Saccharomyces cerevisiae S288C: one gene and its partners. The main gene of each other region encodes a partner of the protein of the gene in region 3 in a complex. Each region holds a gene or a part of one and is shown on either strand. Other genes may lie near its edges.

Region 1 (5,786 bases), on a different chromosome or scaffold from region 3:
ATATTTGGTGGAAAGTCGACATTGAGCGGTAGAGTCATCGGTAGCGATTCTTAATAACAACTGAGACTCAGGATGAAACTTTTTGATTTTATGCAATTCTTCTACATTGTCAAAAGTAGACTTCATTACATTTTTTGAAGCTGCATATCTAATGAAAGATGCTACTTTACAAGGATTAGCGTAAACAATTCTATCCGGCGAGATGTTCATCGATAATACTCTGTCAATTTCCACTTTGGAAGCGCAATCGAAATTAACGCCCAACTCTGCTAATAATGACAAAACCTTGGTATCAGGATTACATTTGACGGCATAAAATGGCTTAATTCTAGGAAGCTCCTTCACCCAGTTGTTGAATAATCTCTTGACTTCTCCCAAATCGCATATGAAAAACGAGTTCTCCTCACCGGGGTCGCACGTTTCATTATTAATTCTACCAATACGAGCCTTGAGCGCTTGAAATATTTTAGGATGCGCTTGTTCATGCGGTAAAAGTTCCAAATCTTGGTTATTCTTTAGTTCAAGCAAAAGATTGTGCAGCGTCTCGCCATCTTTATAATATTGCTTCTTTTGGGTAACCGTAGAATTAGACAAGTCCACTAAAGTAGTAGTGGAACTAGATAGAGCATTTCCTACTTGAGTACTAGACATAGTAAGTTTGAAATTCAAAGGTTTTGATTACTATGAAAAAGTTGTAGAACAATCAAAAAATCTTACCTACTTAAACTTGAAACAAAAGCCGTGCTGAAACCTGGATGATAAACCAAGGAACGAAAAGTTCTTCTGTCCTTTCTATTAACTACACTATTATGATTGAATTTTAAGCTTATTAGAAGCAGGTTCCGCTATTTCAGTGCAATAAATGCTTTTCATTTTCGATTTCAGAATAAAAATCAGGATGACCAATCTATTGCGCAGGAGAAGTTATTAGAATGATTTCACTTCGAAATGGGCGAAAATATCTGCACGGCGCAGATTAAAATTAATCGGTGAAGAAAACGAAGATGCCGCGGCGTGTCGAATGAAAATGAAAGAAAATGAATTTTTATTTGTAGTTTATTTAGCACAGACAAGGAGAGAAATGTACAATTGTTTCGTGATAATGTCTCTTATTAGTTGAAAGAGATTCAGTTATCCATGTATCAATTCTCTACTGTCTCAGTTATGTAATTACAAAATAAGCAACGGTACCCTTCAATTTCGCAGTTGCGTTCGGGGACGAATTCTTTGTCTATTCCATTGGATTTCATAATGTTTATTTCACCCTTTGTGGGGATCTTACGACATAAATCGTTCAAACATCTTGTATGTGTTTTTTTATATCGAAGACCACAAGAGTTACATAGCTGATCTTGCTTTCTTGGCGACCACGATGGCCTCCAACAGGGCGAATCACTCGAATGACACGACACGCACACTCTTGTGGTGTGACGAGTGGGTGATGAGCCACTGGACCTTCTACTTCCCTTTTTCGTTATGCTTGAATTTGATGATCTTCGAGGGCTTTGAGGGGGAGAGTCGAGAGCAAATCTATGATAATTGGGTGACCTTGGGCTTGGAGTGTATGCCTTGGGACGCACAGGTGAGGATGATCTTGATCTCATCTTGCCACTTTTCGTCGGTGTGGAGGGAGATGGAGATGAAGATGCAGAGACAGAACTGTAACTAGCGTTGTCGAGTTTCATCACCAATTGTCTTGCAGTGTTACCGAAAACATTTGATGCTTGCTTTGAGATTTTGTTCTTAGATGGTTTCCTTACATTAGATTTGGAATTGTTCGATAGAATGTCTCTATTCGCAAGCAATTTTTTTATTTGCAAAGCTTTGAAACTGTTCGTCTTTTTGTGACTGGCATTTGGCATGGGAAATGAATTTCCACGTAATTGTCTTTGATGTTTAACTTCTTGAACCAATTTTTCACTAATAATTGGATTGAATATTGAATCGTTATTGCTGGATTTCCCCTCAAAAAAAGAGGCCTCTACTCCTCTAAGCGTCGTGCGCTCCATGGTTCTATTGGTTGGTGGACTCATCGGCGGTGTGACGGGAGGAGTAATACTCCATGCATTGTTGGAAAGATCTTTAAATTGATCTTTAGCTTCTAGAATCGAAGGAATTAGTTTGGTACGATCAAATGATTCCTTAGACGGGGAATGGAACTTGGACGACCTAGTCGATTCCAATTCCTTGCCGTAATTGAAACTATCATTATTTTGATTATTAGTTAAGTTGGGTATACTTAATGGCTTGAAATGAGCCACTTCTTCGCGTATTTTAACATAGTCTTGATAGTTTGTATCCTTACACCAATGGGTAAGATCAGTTTTCCAATTAGATGTACGTTTTGATGTATCAGGGAAGCGTGCTGCGTTTTCTTGTAAAAGAGGACTGGGTAATAATTGCAGATGCCTTAGTGATGGTAGGCTTTGTTGTGGGCGCTCCGGTCTCTTAGATAAAGAGACGGACGATAGCCTGTCTAACAATGGTAGTCGAGGTTGTGAATTAGAGGAAAAACCTAAGCCAGACCCATAGTTCAATGGATTTGTAAAACTAATCTGAGATAAGCTTGCCTTGTTGAATTCTGGTGAATTGCCTGGTGTTAATGAGGAAATTGGATTGTAATCCATATGATGTGGCGATGCTGGTGCAGTATTTGATTTTTTTCCAAGTATTTCGTTAGCCAAAGATATTGGGGAAAGAATTGGCGACACATTGAGCGAATGAAACGAATACTTCCTAGGACTTGCTGAATTTATATTGTTATCGGTTGTGATATTGTTCCTGCTGATATTACTGGATAAATTGGAAAATGAAGGCAATAAAAGATTGTCATAATAGGAGCTATTTGCATGAGAATCCGGACCAGCAGATAATGCATGCAGTGGTGTTTTGATGTATAAGCTTGACATTTTTTTGCTTTTCCCGTTATGAGAAATGTTTTTTTTAGACTGAAAATAAAAGAATGGATAGTATTAAAATAGTAATGAACGTAATAAGGATAGGACAGGAGCGATAGGAAAAGATAGAATTTTGGAGCTTTTTTTCCCTCTTTTTTTGAGCAGGAGCCAATAGTAGTCGGAAAGATGAGTGTATAGATTTTTCGTATTTTATTTCGAGTAAAAATATCACGCTCTTAGGTTCAATAAAAGAATATACTATTTCTTCAAAATGCTTCTCTAATCTATTTTTTTATTTTCCTTAATAACTGAAATATTATTTTTTGATGTAAAATGAGTGAACAAGAATAAAGGATTTTTGGTATGTTTGCAAGTTCTGTGGAGTTCCATGTATAAGGTATACATATTAGAAAAGCTTTACGATTATATACTAACATCATGTACAAAACAGTTTAATAATGATCTGTATTGCTGGCTCAATCCACGTAAGGAAAATGATCAGCCCAATCCTCAAAAATAAAATGGCCCTTCCAAAATTAGAGACATATCGTAGAAATCAGACGCACGCTTGGCGTCAATATCCTAAAACGGAAAACTAATCAGTTAGATGTGTCTTTTTTAGGTAAAAAAAGGCAACCAACTTTTTGCTGGCTAGCGATGCGACAATAAACGCGCGCAGCGAATAAAAATAAGATGGCGGAGGAGCAGAGACTTCTTTTCTTAGAAGAGGTTTTGTTACCGTATGGGGGTATGATGGTTAGATGGCTGAATAAAAACGTTAATTAAAGGAATACAGAAGAGGAAGCGCCCCGATTTCTTTTCTGTTCCACATGAAAGCAGCCGGTTGGGTGGTAGATCTCTAATGACATCCAAACTACAAAACCGAGATTGGACATATAGCACACTCTGCATTTCTACTTTCCTTTCTCCCTACAGTTTGCTCGATCTGAACCGATGCTTCTTTGATTGGACAAGATGATAGACCATGACTCCCTGTATGTATTGCAGAGATTGCCACTACTAACCAAGAAAAGTTGAACGTGTCGTACGTATAAAACGATTTATGCTTAGGCTTTACTGAAAAAAAAAAAGTAAAAAGAGGATGCGCAAACGCATAGAGCAAGTAACTAACCTGTTTTTATAGTATATACTTGGCCCCACCAGGCTGATCGTCAGGCAAAACGCCAAACTAATAACAGTAATAACAGAAATATGAACACCAATAGTAATACTATGGTAATGAATGACGCAAATCAAGCACAAATAACGGCCACATTTACGAAGAAGATATTAGCGCATTTGGATGATCCGGACTCCAACAAATTGGCCCAATTCGTACAGCTTTTTAATCCAAACAACTGCAGAATAATATTTAATGCTACCCCCTTCGCGCAAGCAACAGTTTTTCTGCAAATGTGGCAAAACCAGGTCGTACAAACACAACATGCCCTAACAGGAGTAGACTATCACGCTATTCCGGGATCCGGCACGTTGATATGCAACGTCAATTGCAAAGTCAGATTCGACGAAAGCGGCAGAGACAAGATGGGGCAAGACGCGACTGTTCCCATTCAACCAAATAACACTGGGAACAGAAATCGACCCAACGATATGAACAAGCCAAGACCTCTATGGGGTCCATATTTTGGCATTTCCCTGCAGCTGATCATCGACGACCGCATATTTAGAAATGATTTTAATGGTGTAATATCGGGGTTTAACTATAACATGGTTTACAAACCCGAGGATTCTCTGCTAAAAATTTAGTGGGAAGATTCCGCTCTACCAGGGAAAAACAAAATTATATAGAAAAGAAGGTAAGTAATAAGTAATACGAAAAAACCCAAAAAAAAAATTCAAATACCCCAACCCTGTGCCCTTTCTATTTTTATGGTTGAAAAGGTTACAGAGGATCCTCTGGAGCGGTGACAACAGTTGACGCAATCATGGTCCCTGGCGGTCCCTAAGGATATCTCGGAGGAACCGAGGCACGGAAACGGCTGCACGGGTACGCCAGATAAGGATAATTCAGCCGTCACGCATGAACAGAAGGATGAGCATTTGCTCACCTTCCTGGACTTAACTTGCGTGAATGAAAAGAAGAACACCAATGTTAGAGTAGGGCTTCGCACCAAACTTTAATCAAGAAATCTGAGGAGAAATGATTCTAAGTCTAGCCACGAAAACTGCAAAGCGCACCAAAAGTAAGAAACGACAAAGTTTTTCTAGCATTTTTTTGTTTCATCAAGAGAAGAAACACGATTTATATAACTGTTACCGCTAAAACCTACATCTAAACTTTTTAATATCTGAAAGCGCTAGTCGTGTGTACCCCCCTCAACTGATCAACTGGTCAACGAGCTTTACTTGTGGAAGTTCATGGCAAACGCTCCTTGGCTTTTGCCTAGTCTTGTTCTATGGCACATTTTTCTGTTGAGTTACACCCCGCGTGCTAAAAAAGGGGTGAACCATCAGAAAGCTTATTACTGAGTTTTGCGGAGCATCGCTCGGAGCGGCGGAATTGAATCGAACCGCCGTGCTATTACCGAACAAAAAAATTCGAAAGCATAAACTCAGTAGTGAAAAACTTGAGAATTTTCAGATGAGTGGCGACTTTCCAGTCCTTGCGGTTTTGTCACCTTAGTCAGCTAGTAAGGAGGCCGTGTGGGTTAGAGTGGCTACAATCCTCAAAGGGCACTTCTAGAACCCACGGTGAATTTTTTTTGGCATGATAAATCGGTAGAATCGGTGAAGTAATTACCCAAAAAAGGATCGGGATTGTGTTTCTCGTAATTCCGTATTATTGCCGATGGCATCGACTACTTCTTTTTTCAGAAACCCCAACAAGGGTCTATTGTAATTGTATATAAACCTTTTTGTAATGGATAT
Region 2 (5,677 bases), on a different chromosome or scaffold from region 3:
ATGCTTTCTTTGTGTCCAAAAATTCTGCACCTTCCCTGTTCTATTGTTAAAATATCCCAGCTTAATTGTAGTATCTTCAGATGCAGTACAGAATATATGCCCATCCTTAAAATTGTCATTCGTGTTGGTATTTGAAACAGGACAGATTGAAATATCTCTGATTTCCCTTCCGTGTACACCATTTTCTAAAGTTTCAGGCACAATGGAGTTGTAAATTTTCCTTAAATGAAATCGGGATGCCTTAATATACATTAATACGTGGCCATCAGTAATTTTTGCGAGATTCCACAGACGATGGGAACCACCACAAACTTCACTAGCTAGTTCATAACAGTTGGTTTCATTGTAGAGATAAAACAAGCTGGACTTGAACCCATAAGTAATGTATTCACCTTTTGAATTAAAGAAAGCGCCCTCCAAGAAACCTTTCATCATCTTATTAGAATGCAAGACCTTATAACTTAGTCGGTAGGGACCCTCTTCCAAACTGTTTTTCGTCAACTCAATAAATACATAATAGCCATCCCTATTTGTTACTGAGAAGACCGCAGAGTTGTCTTTATCTTCTACAAATTCGATTGAGGTTGTAGTGTCTCCGGGACTTAATCTCCTAATTATGAAGGGCTCCTCGCTCTCATCAAGTAAGTTGTAGATTACTAATGTACTAAAACGTGAGCCGACTAAAATATGATTTCGGAAGGAGGTCAAACATGAGGAAGAAAAATTTTCCGGCTTATTGAAACAGTGCTTGCTTTTAATTTTTAAGTTCTGAAGGCTTATTTCCAAACATACAAACTTCTCTCGAGGATTTGGGGATTGTAAAGTCAATAGGAAGGAGTCATCATCGTATTCTGTAACGAGACAGTTATTTGTCTTAGAAAGCTCATCTAAATGGAATTCTTCGGTCTCAATTATGTCAGCGCTATCTTTGCTAAATTTGATAAGAAGGATGTCACTTTTATTATTGGAAAAGACAGCGATATTTTGCGTTTGAATCCCATTTGTAATTGGATACGAGTTGAATTTTTCATTTGTTAGTAACAACTTCCATTGTTTCGTGACATCACTGTATTTAAGTATTTTACCCAATGAAGTGATAGCAATTACACCGAATGAAAACCATTGAAATCCCTTGATACTTTCATTCTTTTCGAAAATATCGCCACATTGCTTTGCGATATCATCTAGACTGAACGATGTTTCTTCATCGCCGTGTCTCTTCAGTTGAAGAAGATCAATCAGCTTTAACCTACCATCATTCCCGGAGGTTACAGCTATCATTTCGTCGTCTTTCACATCAACGCCCCATATACTCTTGATTAAATGTACTTCGTAAACGTTAGATATGGATAATTCGGCAACGTTTTCTCGTGATTCGATAATGTTCCATACACGGCATGTGCAATCTTCAGAAACACTTATTAGTTTTGAATCATTATCAAAAAACATTAAATTCCATATTCTTGCCGTATGGCTCCAGCCAACAGACAGCTGCTTGCCAGTTTCTAAATCCCACAGTCTAATTGATCTGTCGTCAGAGCAACTGGCAACATATCTTCCGTTGTTGCTTAAATTAACATAAAAGATAGAACCTTCATGACCCAGTAAGTTATGAATTTTTGTCTCCGAGAACAGGTCCCAAATGATAACACCGCCCATTACAGTACCAGCGTTAACATATACTTTATCCGGACCGAAAACTTTAATTATACCGGAATATAGAATAGATCTTTCTCCCCCAAGAGACTTCCTAAAAAGAACTTCACAATTTAAATCACAAATTAGCACTTTATTATAACATGTTAACAAATATATTTGCAAGTTGTCAAAGCTGAATGTAGCACCGGTAATCCAATCTGAGTTAATCCTTTCGAAATCCACCAATGACTCTTTCTTTAAAACGTCTTCAAGTTCCACTATTGTTACTGATCTTGCACCATAGGCCAAAATTTTCCCTTCACTAGAAAGGCTAAGTCCATGAACTTTATTGTAGTGAAATAGCCTACATTTGTTAATCAACGTAGCCGAATGATAGTCATAGACATGGATGAAAGGCCCATAACCAGCTAGAACATAATCATTGTAAAATTTAACACATAGCGCAGGACCATAATGAGACAAGTCCTTCATTTTAATCACTTATTCTTCTTCAATGAGCAACTTCAATTGGCGGGAATGAGAAGCTAAATAACGATGAGGTCCGCTAGCAGAAGTTTTTTCATGCTCATATTTTTCCACTTTTTTTTTCTTACATTTTTTTTTTCAGCAGCGTCGTTTTTTGTGAGACGCCGATGTGTATGCTAGGCTTAAATCTATCATTCAGACCCCAGTGTAAAACATAAGCGGTGAAAAGTACGTAGGGTAGTATACAACTCACCAAAGCACGACTACGTGAAAATGACCCTGAGAGTATCATCAATGTTATCGGCTGTATAAATAATACACCAGAACAAATTCCTCTTAAAGATGTAGGCAAGACCAGACTCAGTTTCTCTGAGCAGTACCTTCAATTTTCAATTTTTGATAGATGTTCGTCACTAATATTTTTTTATTGAGTTAAGTTCACCCACTTCTGGCACTTCTTATAACCTTGATAATTAAAAAGACCTCGGCGGTTATTTTTTATTTTGAGCAGTTATAAAGGGCATTACCCTCATCATCTTGCGGAAATAGGACGGAGCACGTCGCAGACAGGCTTTAACGTAATCAATTAGTTTTGAAAAATTTCTCCGCTATGGGTAAACTAGGTAAACCGCACAGCACAATCAGCTGCATTTTCTATTTTCAATTTTCTATTGGTGGCTTTTCACTGCATGATCAAAAAATAACGTTTTGTTGATTAGTTTTTTCTTTTTTGTTCTTGTTGGTTTTCGTATATGAATTTTATGTAACTGGGTATTTACAGGGGTACAAAGTTCACAACAGAGACCATCAATAGTTTGTTTCCTTCGAAGTTTACTTTGCGTAACCTTACTAAAAGATAGCATAAACATATAGGAGTATAGAGAAGAGTAATGGAATCGACAGCAATAGTGCCTAAAGGCCCTGTTGTGGGTAGTGAAGATATGGAGAAAGCGGAAGTCATTGCTAGTGGGTCCACAGACATTATATCAACAACATCAACAGCGACAACAACGGCGGCGATTGGAAGTGTACAGGAAGAAAGTGTAAAACAAGAAGATGTTCCTATGGAAGGTGGAGAGGGGGAAGTCGAGGAAGAGGAAGGCGAAACTCGCTGTATCTGTGGAGAGCTCGATACTCCAGATGACTCCGGATTTTTCATTCAATGTGAGCAGTGCAGTTCCTGGCAGCACGGTTATTGTGTGAGTATTACTCAAGACAACGCACCTGATAAATATTGGTGCGAGCAATGCAGACCGGAGTTACATCAGCTCTTTACCACAGATACTGGCGAAGCAAGGTCAATCTATAAACCTGTGCAAGAGAAAAGGAGGCAATCAAGAAGGAAGGCACGAAGTGCAGCTGCAAGTAAATCTCATGCCGCCAATGAAGCAGAGAAAAGTCCCAGAAATACCAGCAATACCGATGATAACGTCGACGATATCGGCGACGAAGAAGATGAAGTAGAAGATGAAGCTTCGGCTGTAGCATTAGCCAAGGACGGCAACACGAGGTCAAGTAGAAGGAGGAGGAGGAATTCAATGGATGATGCTTCTACCGATCAGTATTCACTGGATCCTGGAGATAGTGATAAGAAGCTACTGGATAGAAAAAGGGCAACTTTCATGGCAAGAGAAGAAAAGCAATATCAAAGAATGCTTGAAAAAGCCTTGAAAGAAAGCAGGAGGACATCACATCAAGAAGATCCTGAAAGTTATGAAAATGATGCTGATATATACCAAGGTGATACCGACAATCACAACGGCACCACTCGATTACAAACGGATGTTATGCTAACGGAAGGCAAACCGGACTCGGTAACAAATGATGATATGAAAGAAAGCCTACGACCATCGAAAGAGCAATCAATGGAAAAAACAAATGATGTGGAAAAAGAAGCTAGTCAAGAAAAGGAATCTTCTACGGGTTCGGCGCAAGACACTGAGAAAACTGATGAACCCATCCTACCCCTAACCTCAATATCTTCTTCTGAGGATGATTCAAGGAAAGCTAGTTCGAGGGGTTCTAAAAGAGTTTCCAAACCAGCAAGAAAGGGCAACAGAACTCGTCGAAGCAATACAAGTTCAGACACCAACCAAAATAGAAGGAGTGCTGATATAGGTACCGACAAACCAGTAAAGCCCAGATTACCCCCTCAAAGGACCTCATTAAACGAAATGAGAAGAAGGGTATCCGCTATTTTGGAGTTCATTTCTAGAACTCAATGGGAATTGAGTGAAGATCAGTCTGATCGAGAGGAATTTGTACGATTCGTGGAAAACCAGCATTTCGTAGAAAAAGTTGATACGATTTACAACGGTTATAATGAAAGTCTATCAATGATGGACGACCTGACTAGAGAGTTACTACTATGGGAGAAAAAATATTCAAATAACACTAATGCCATTCAATAAACGCAAAACACTGCAATATTATTCTCAACCAAAGTATAACTGTAATGAGGCGAACAAACACATCTATACATATATATACATCTATATGGATATAAAAACGACTAATTCAACGTTGTTTTTATCAACCGAGCTTACTCTTGTACGGGTAACCGCAAGGATAGCTAGTTGCGGATGGTATAGCGATTTGGCTGGCACGATGATTAAGGAATCCAAACATCTAATGGACTAGCACATTCTATCGATTTACGGGTCAGGTAAACATAGATATTGGGATATATCATATATCCTTACTGAGTAACTATAATTATGGTTCATCGAGGAAGGACTTTGAAGTCAGACACTGATGTAACATCTCTTAATGCGTCAACAGTATCACACCAGTCAAAGCCATTTAGACAGTTTTCGACTAGGTCGAGAGCAAAGAGTAACGCAAGCTTCAAAGGTTTGCGTAGAGTTTTAACACATGATGGCACCCTGGATAATGATTATTTTAATAAGCACAACGTTTCTCAGAAATGCAAGAGTTCTGATGCACTTTTCAGAAAGCGAACGATTAGTGGGTTGAATATGACAGCTTTAACAAGAGTAAAGTCCAATCAAGGAAAAAGATCAGCATCCTTTCATAGTCCGGTGCATAATACGCTGCTCAGTCCAAAGAACAGCAGTCATTCTAATACTGGAACTGCTGGTTTCGGCCTGAAACCACGAAGAAGTAAAAGTACCCAATCTGTTCTGAGTCTTCGAGATGCGCAAGAATCTAAAAAGAGTGAATCTACTACTGACGAGGAGGTGGAATGTTTTTCGGAAGACAACATTGAAGATGGAAAGGTGAATAATGATAAAGTAATAGCCGAGCATGTTATGCCTGAAGAAAAAAAGAATGTGCAGCAATTAAATCAGAATGAATTACAATCCCCGGATTCAATAGATGAACAAGAAGAAGATAAATCAGGTACTGATGGAAAGGAAAATCATAGAGCTGTATCCTTACCATTACCTCATTTATCTTCCAATAACTATTTCGGAGAATCAAGCCATTCTATAGAACATCAGAAAGATGGAGAAACATCTCCAAGCTCAATTGAAACAAAACTGAATGCAACAAGTGTAATCAATGAAGAGGGGCAATCAAAGGTGACGAA
Region 3 (5,541 bases):
TCTTTCCAAGTTCTCTCTGTTAGGATTTTGAGATCTGGAGTATTCGTAAGTACCGATAGGGTTAGCTGGAGAAGATTGTTTGAAAGTGGTGGACAAAGAAATGGGTTCGATCACGGAACCGTGAACGTCCACATGTTCACCGGCATGAATGGCCTTGGTAGCAAATTTATCAGATTCTTGTAGAGTCATATTTTTTTTGGTTTTGTCTTGTGTGTATATGTATAAGGTGCAAATGTCTATGTGTATAGGCCTCAATTGTACTTTCAAAATTCAATCTGGCACGGCACAAGTTCCATCTACCTGGCATCTTATGCTTTAAATAACTGAAATATTTTTTTCTTTTCTTTTCCTCGAGGATTTTTATGGAAAAAAAAGTGTGGCGCCACAACTGGCTGAGATCACGTGAATGGCTAATTATTAGTAATGAAGGGTGGAATTACATAGCGTTACAACATATTTAAGAATAACAAAAAGAAGTGGTATGGGGTCCAGTGTGGCGGTCACTGGGCCCACTGGTGGAAGTCGTCGTTGATTTCGGAGTCTCTAAGCGGGTTCAACTCAGGAGCACCCGGGAAGGAGTGGAAATATTTGCGCAGGCCTTCGAGGTCGCTAATCTCGTTATTGAGCCTCATTCGGTCCACAATGACTTCGAGTTTGTCCACCGGGTTGGCTCTGTAGCGGTACTCGATGCTTTCGCAAGCGAGGTCCTCTGCCACGGGCTCGCCGGGATAGCACAGCTGTGCTGCGCTGGCGTAGCCCGTGATACAGCTCAGCGTCTTGTTATCAAGTTTGATGGGGACGTGGTAATTGACATCTGGGATGACTATATCCATATCGCGGCGCTCCTTGTTGATATCGTACCAGGTCTGCGTGGTTCTGTTCAGCAGCCTGGCTCGCAGGTCGGTGACCTTCTTGTGGAAGTCCTGGTGAATGAATGTCCTGGTAGCGATTGTTTCTGTGTTGATGCATGAAAGCTCGTACTTCTGTCGCTGGTACGCTCGGTGTAGCTTGTAGTCACGGATCGCGGCAATCTTCGAGTAGTAGACCTGCAATTCCGGGTGTGACCCTTCCAGACACATCTGCAGCTCCGTTTGCAACCGCACCAATTGATTGTCATATAGTTTTTGGCGCAATTGCGCGAACTTGTACTCGATGTCGGTGATTTCCTTCAGCGCAGTCATCCTCTGTTCCTCCATTTCGATGGGGGAGGGCATCACCAGCGCAGGCGGTGCTGTATGCTCGTTTTCGTTTTCATTATCCTCCTCGTTGTTTTCCTCCTCATTATCACCTTCGTCCCCTTGCTCGTCCCTGGCGTCGGTGCTCTTCTCCTTGCTGTCAATTGCCTCTTCCAGTTCTTGACTCTTTTCCTCTTCCTTGCTTTCGTCCTCGTTCTCTCCCGGCACTTTCATCTTCTTGGCCTCATCTATCGCCTCTTTCTCATCTTCGTGTGGTCTTTTCAAGCTCTCGGTGAGCGTCTCTTGCTTCACCAGGCTGGATAGCTTGGGAGCGTATTTCAACTCCGGCAGATTGGCCAACGACTTCTCCTCGTCGCTATCCATCTTCTCTGTTCCTGCGTCACTGGATATACAGTATTCCGATAAATTCAAATTGTGATTCAAATCCGTATTGAAGTCAATGTTGCTCAACACGCTCTCTTGATCAAGGTCCTGTTCTTTCGCTGTGGTCTGTTCACTTTCCTGTGGTGTTTGCTGACTCATCTGCCACGATCGATGCGCCTCCTCTTGCTTCTGTGCTTCCTTCCCTTGTACTTTGCCGTTGCACTGTTATGAGTTTATTATTTCTAAAAATCATTTTATAAGAATAAAATTTCCCAGCACGACTTTGATCACCCGAAAGGGCAAAAACAAGTAAAGAACAAGAAATAAATGCTGAGACTTTACAATGGAAAACGAATAAAGCATAGAGACAGATCTCACGACAGCAAATAGATGCGTAAGCACACACGGTATGGATGTGTTGAAGCTGGGTTATGAACTGGACCAGCTCTCTGATCTGGTCGAAGAAAGAACAAGGCTAGTGTCGGTGTTGAAGCTCGCCCCGACCTCAAACGATAACGTTACTTTGAAACGGCAATTGGGCTCAATATTGGAGTTATTGCAGAAGTGTGCGCCCAATGATGAACTAATATCCCGATACAATACCATACTGGACAAAATTCCTGATACGGCGGTTGACAAGGAGTTGTATAGGTTCCAACAGCAGGTGGCAAGAAATACTGATGAGGTGTCCAAAGAGTCTTTGAAAAAAGTGCGGTTCAAGAATGATGACGAGCTTACGGTCATGTATAAGGATGACGATGAACAAGACGAGGAGTCGCCGCTGCCTTCGACGCATACTCCATACAAGGATGAACCATTGCAATCGCAGTTACAGTCACAGTCACAGCCACAGCCACCACAACCCATGGTTTCCAACCAAGAACTATTTATTAACCAGCAACAGCAGTTGTTAGAGCAAGATTCCCACTTGGGCGCACTGTCTCAGTCTATTGGGAGGACTCATGACATTTCGCTGGACCTTAATAATGAGATCGTTTCTCAGAACGACTCGCTGCTGGTTGATTTAGAAAACCTGATTGATAATAATGGTAGGAATTTGAACAGGGCCTCTCGGTCCATGCATGGCTTTAACAATTCTAGGTTCAAGGATAACGGCAACTGCGTGATTATTCTTGTGCTGATAGTGGTGCTCCTGTTGCTTCTATTAGTATTATAACATTATATTCTGTTTTTTAGGCTCGAATACGAAGTTTGGTTTTGATCTTTTTTTTTTTCTTTTTCTTTCACTTAGTAATAACCTCCTCTTTAATGATTCATCATATATTTGTATCTATATATACTTTATAGCCCAAAAAAAAAAAAAATATGCAAAAGATCAGTAAATACTCATCTATGGCAATTCTGAGGAAAAGACCGCTGGTAAAGACTGAAACTGGGCCAGAATCAGAACTCCTACCGGAGAAAAGGACCAAAATCAAACAAGAAGAGGTTGTCCCTCAACCCGTGGATATCGACTGGGTTAAATCGCTGCCAAATAAGCAGTACTTCGAATGGATTGTGGTTAGAAACGGCAATGTGCCCAACAGGTGGGCCACACCATTGGACCCCTCGATCCTTGTCACTCCGGCCTCGACGAAAGTCCCTTACAAGTTTCAAGAAACATACGCTAGAATGCGAGTACTGAGATCTAAGATTCTAGCCCCCGTCGATATAATTGGTGGATCATCCATTCCTGTAACGGTTGCCTCTAAGTGTGGTATCTCGAAAGAGCAGATATCACCGAGGGACTACAGATTACAGGTCCTTCTTGGGGTGATGCTATCATCGCAAACAAAAGATGAAGTTACCGCAATGGCAATGCTTAACATAATGCGGTATTGTATAGACGAACTGCACAGCGAAGAAGGTATGACATTAGAGGCCGTTTTACAAATCAATGAGACCAAATTAGACGAATTGATTCATTCAGTTGGGTTCCACACAAGGAAGGCCAAGTATATTTTGTCAACCTGCAAAATCCTTCAAGATCAGTTTTCGAGTGATGTTCCAGCTACGATTAATGAGCTATTGGGCCTGCCCGGTGTAGGGCCCAAAATGGCTTATCTAACATTACAAAAGGCATGGGGCAAGATTGAAGGTATCTGCGTTGACGTTCACGTGGATAGATTGACCAAGCTTTGGAAATGGGTAGATGCGCAGAAATGCAAGACTCCAGATCAGACAAGAACTCAATTACAAAATTGGCTGCCTAAGGGGCTTTGGACAGAAATAAATGGGTTGCTGGTTGGATTTGGACAAATAATCACTAAATCGAGGAACCTTGGTGACATGTTACAATTCTTGCCACCGGATGATCCCAGAAGCTCCTTAGATTGGGATTTGCAGTCTCAATTGTACAAGGAAATCCAGCAAAATATCATGAGTTATCCAAAGTGGGTGAAATACCTGGAAGGAAAACGTGAACTGAACGTGGAGGCGGAAATCAATGTTAAACACGAGGAGAAAACAGTTGAAGAAACTATGGTCAAACTGGAAAATGATATTTCTGTTAAAGTAGAGGACTAAGTGTGGTAAAAAAAAAAAAAAAGAAAAGAAAAGAAAGCAGGCCTAGTTGTTAATATGTATACTTTTTATTCATTCAAGTGTACATATGTGTATGTATGTATATATTTGAACTAGTATCAATTTTTTAAAAGTTCTTGACATTCTGCCAAACTTTTCTTAGCGAAGTATTTTACATCAACATCTTCGTCTTGACACAGCGTTTGCAATGAGGGTAAAATTGTGTTCTTAATTAATGCATCATATTTGGCCTCGTCCTTAATTAAAACCTTCACTATCACAGCGTAGGATTTGGCCACATTAAACCTAATATTTGGAACACCGTCATCAGCCAAGTGAGAAATGAATGGTAATAGTTGCTCAGTAACGACATCTAACGATACCACGGGCACCAAAGTGGTTAGAGCAGAGAGTATTGTGAACCTCGAGACAAAATTTTCCAGTAATTGTAGATCAAATTTGAGCAGTCTTGAAATAATTTCATCACGACACCAATCAGAGCCAAATATTTCCGTTAACCTTTTTAAATTATTCACTGCGGCTTCTCTGATAGAATAAACAGTATCCCACAACCATGAAAGACATAAATCGCTTAACTGTTGGTCAAAAAATTGCATACCTAATTGTTCTGCCAAGATAGGTATGTACTCAATTATAGCCATTCTAACTCTCCAATTCACGTCCTTGGCTAATTCTGTTATGGCAGGTAACAAAGAGTCTGATAGCAGCTCAATTCCTATTACGTCATTGACAACCTTCAAGCTGGCAATGATATTTAAACGAACGTCAGGGAACTCATCTCTTAGCATATTCAGTAAAATCGGAAGAAAATTGTTAATGACTTGATCTTTATTCAACAGTAATACAATATTTGTAATCTTAGAAGCCAAAGCAGATCTCACTGTTTCACTTTCGTCCATACTCAAATTCTGCACAGCAGGTAAGATCTTATTCAATATAATTGAAGGATCATTTAGGAACTTGGCAAACCCAGAAACTTGTTTAGCCACAGCTTCCCTAACATCTCCCTCGTTGTCCTCACAAAGGTTCAAAAATGGTTGTACTAATTCATCGATATATGCTTGGTTGGAACTGAATTGCGAGGCTAAATCTGAAAATCTATCGGCAGCCATGTAACGTACCCTCCACGCTTCGTCACCAATTAATTTGACAGCAGAGTTCAATAAATCTTGAGTGTGAGACTCATCACCTTTAGCGTTAAAAAATTTCAAGATGGAAATTAAACAATCAACTGCCAGAAACTTGACAGAATCTTGATTATCGTTAATGATTTTCTGGAAAATGTTAGAAATGTAATCCCAATCTTCGTCTGTAGATAATCCCAAATTTTGAGTCAACAGATCGATCAAGATGGGCAGGTTTTTACCGACGGCCCTTTTCACCATTGGAGTATCATCTTGAGCGAGTTGTAAGTATAAAGCCAGGATATTCTTTCTCA

The links. Proteins that work in one complex are often made in the same cells at the same time.
Region 1: DEP1 (region 3) and ASH1 share a complex: the UniProt entries of both Saccharomyces cerevisiae proteins name them as parts of the RPD3C(L) complex.
Region 2: DEP1 (region 3) and CTI6 share a complex: the UniProt entries of both Saccharomyces cerevisiae proteins name them as parts of the RPD3C(L) complex.

The regions. Positions count from the first base shown.
Region 1 is NC_001143.9:91,622-97,407, reverse strand, and holds ASH1 (DNA-binding transcription repressor ASH1), read right to left. Parts: upstream 2,910-5,786; coding exon 1,143-2,909; downstream 1-1,142. Other genes in the region: ornithine decarboxylase SPE1, read right to left, coding at 1-651; MTR2 (Mtr2p), read left to right, coding at 4,110-4,664. UniProt on the Saccharomyces cerevisiae protein: Component of the RPD3C(L) histone deacetylase complex (HDAC). Responsible for the deacetylation of lysine residues on the N-terminal part of the core histones (H2A, H2B, H3 and H4).
Region 2 is NC_001148.4:200,407-206,083, forward strand, and holds CTI6 (Cti6p), read left to right. Parts: upstream 1-3,014; coding exon 3,015-4,535; downstream 4,536-5,677. Other genes in the region: tRNA (34-2'-O)-methyltransferase regulator RTT10, read right to left, coding at 1-2,130; TCO89 (Tco89p), read left to right, coding at 4,842-5,677. UniProt on the Saccharomyces cerevisiae protein: Component of the RPD3C(L) histone deacetylase complex (HDAC). Responsible for the deacetylation of lysine residues on the N-terminal part of the core histones (H2A, H2B, H3 and H4).
Region 3 is NC_001133.9:125,447-130,987, reverse strand, and holds DEP1 (Rpd3L histone deacetylase complex subunit DEP1), read right to left. Parts: upstream 1,719-5,541; coding exon 501-1,718; downstream 1-500. Other genes in the region: cystathionine gamma-lyase CYS3, read right to left, coding at 1-189; SYN8 (syntaxin), read left to right, coding at 1,969-2,736; bifunctional N-glycosylase/AP lyase NTG1, read left to right, coding at 2,886-4,085; protein phosphatase 2A structural subunit TPD3, read right to left, coding at 4,202-5,541. UniProt on the Saccharomyces cerevisiae protein: Component of the RPD3C(L) histone deacetylase complex (HDAC) responsible for the deacetylation of lysine residues on the N-terminal part of the core histones (H2A, H2B, H3 and H4).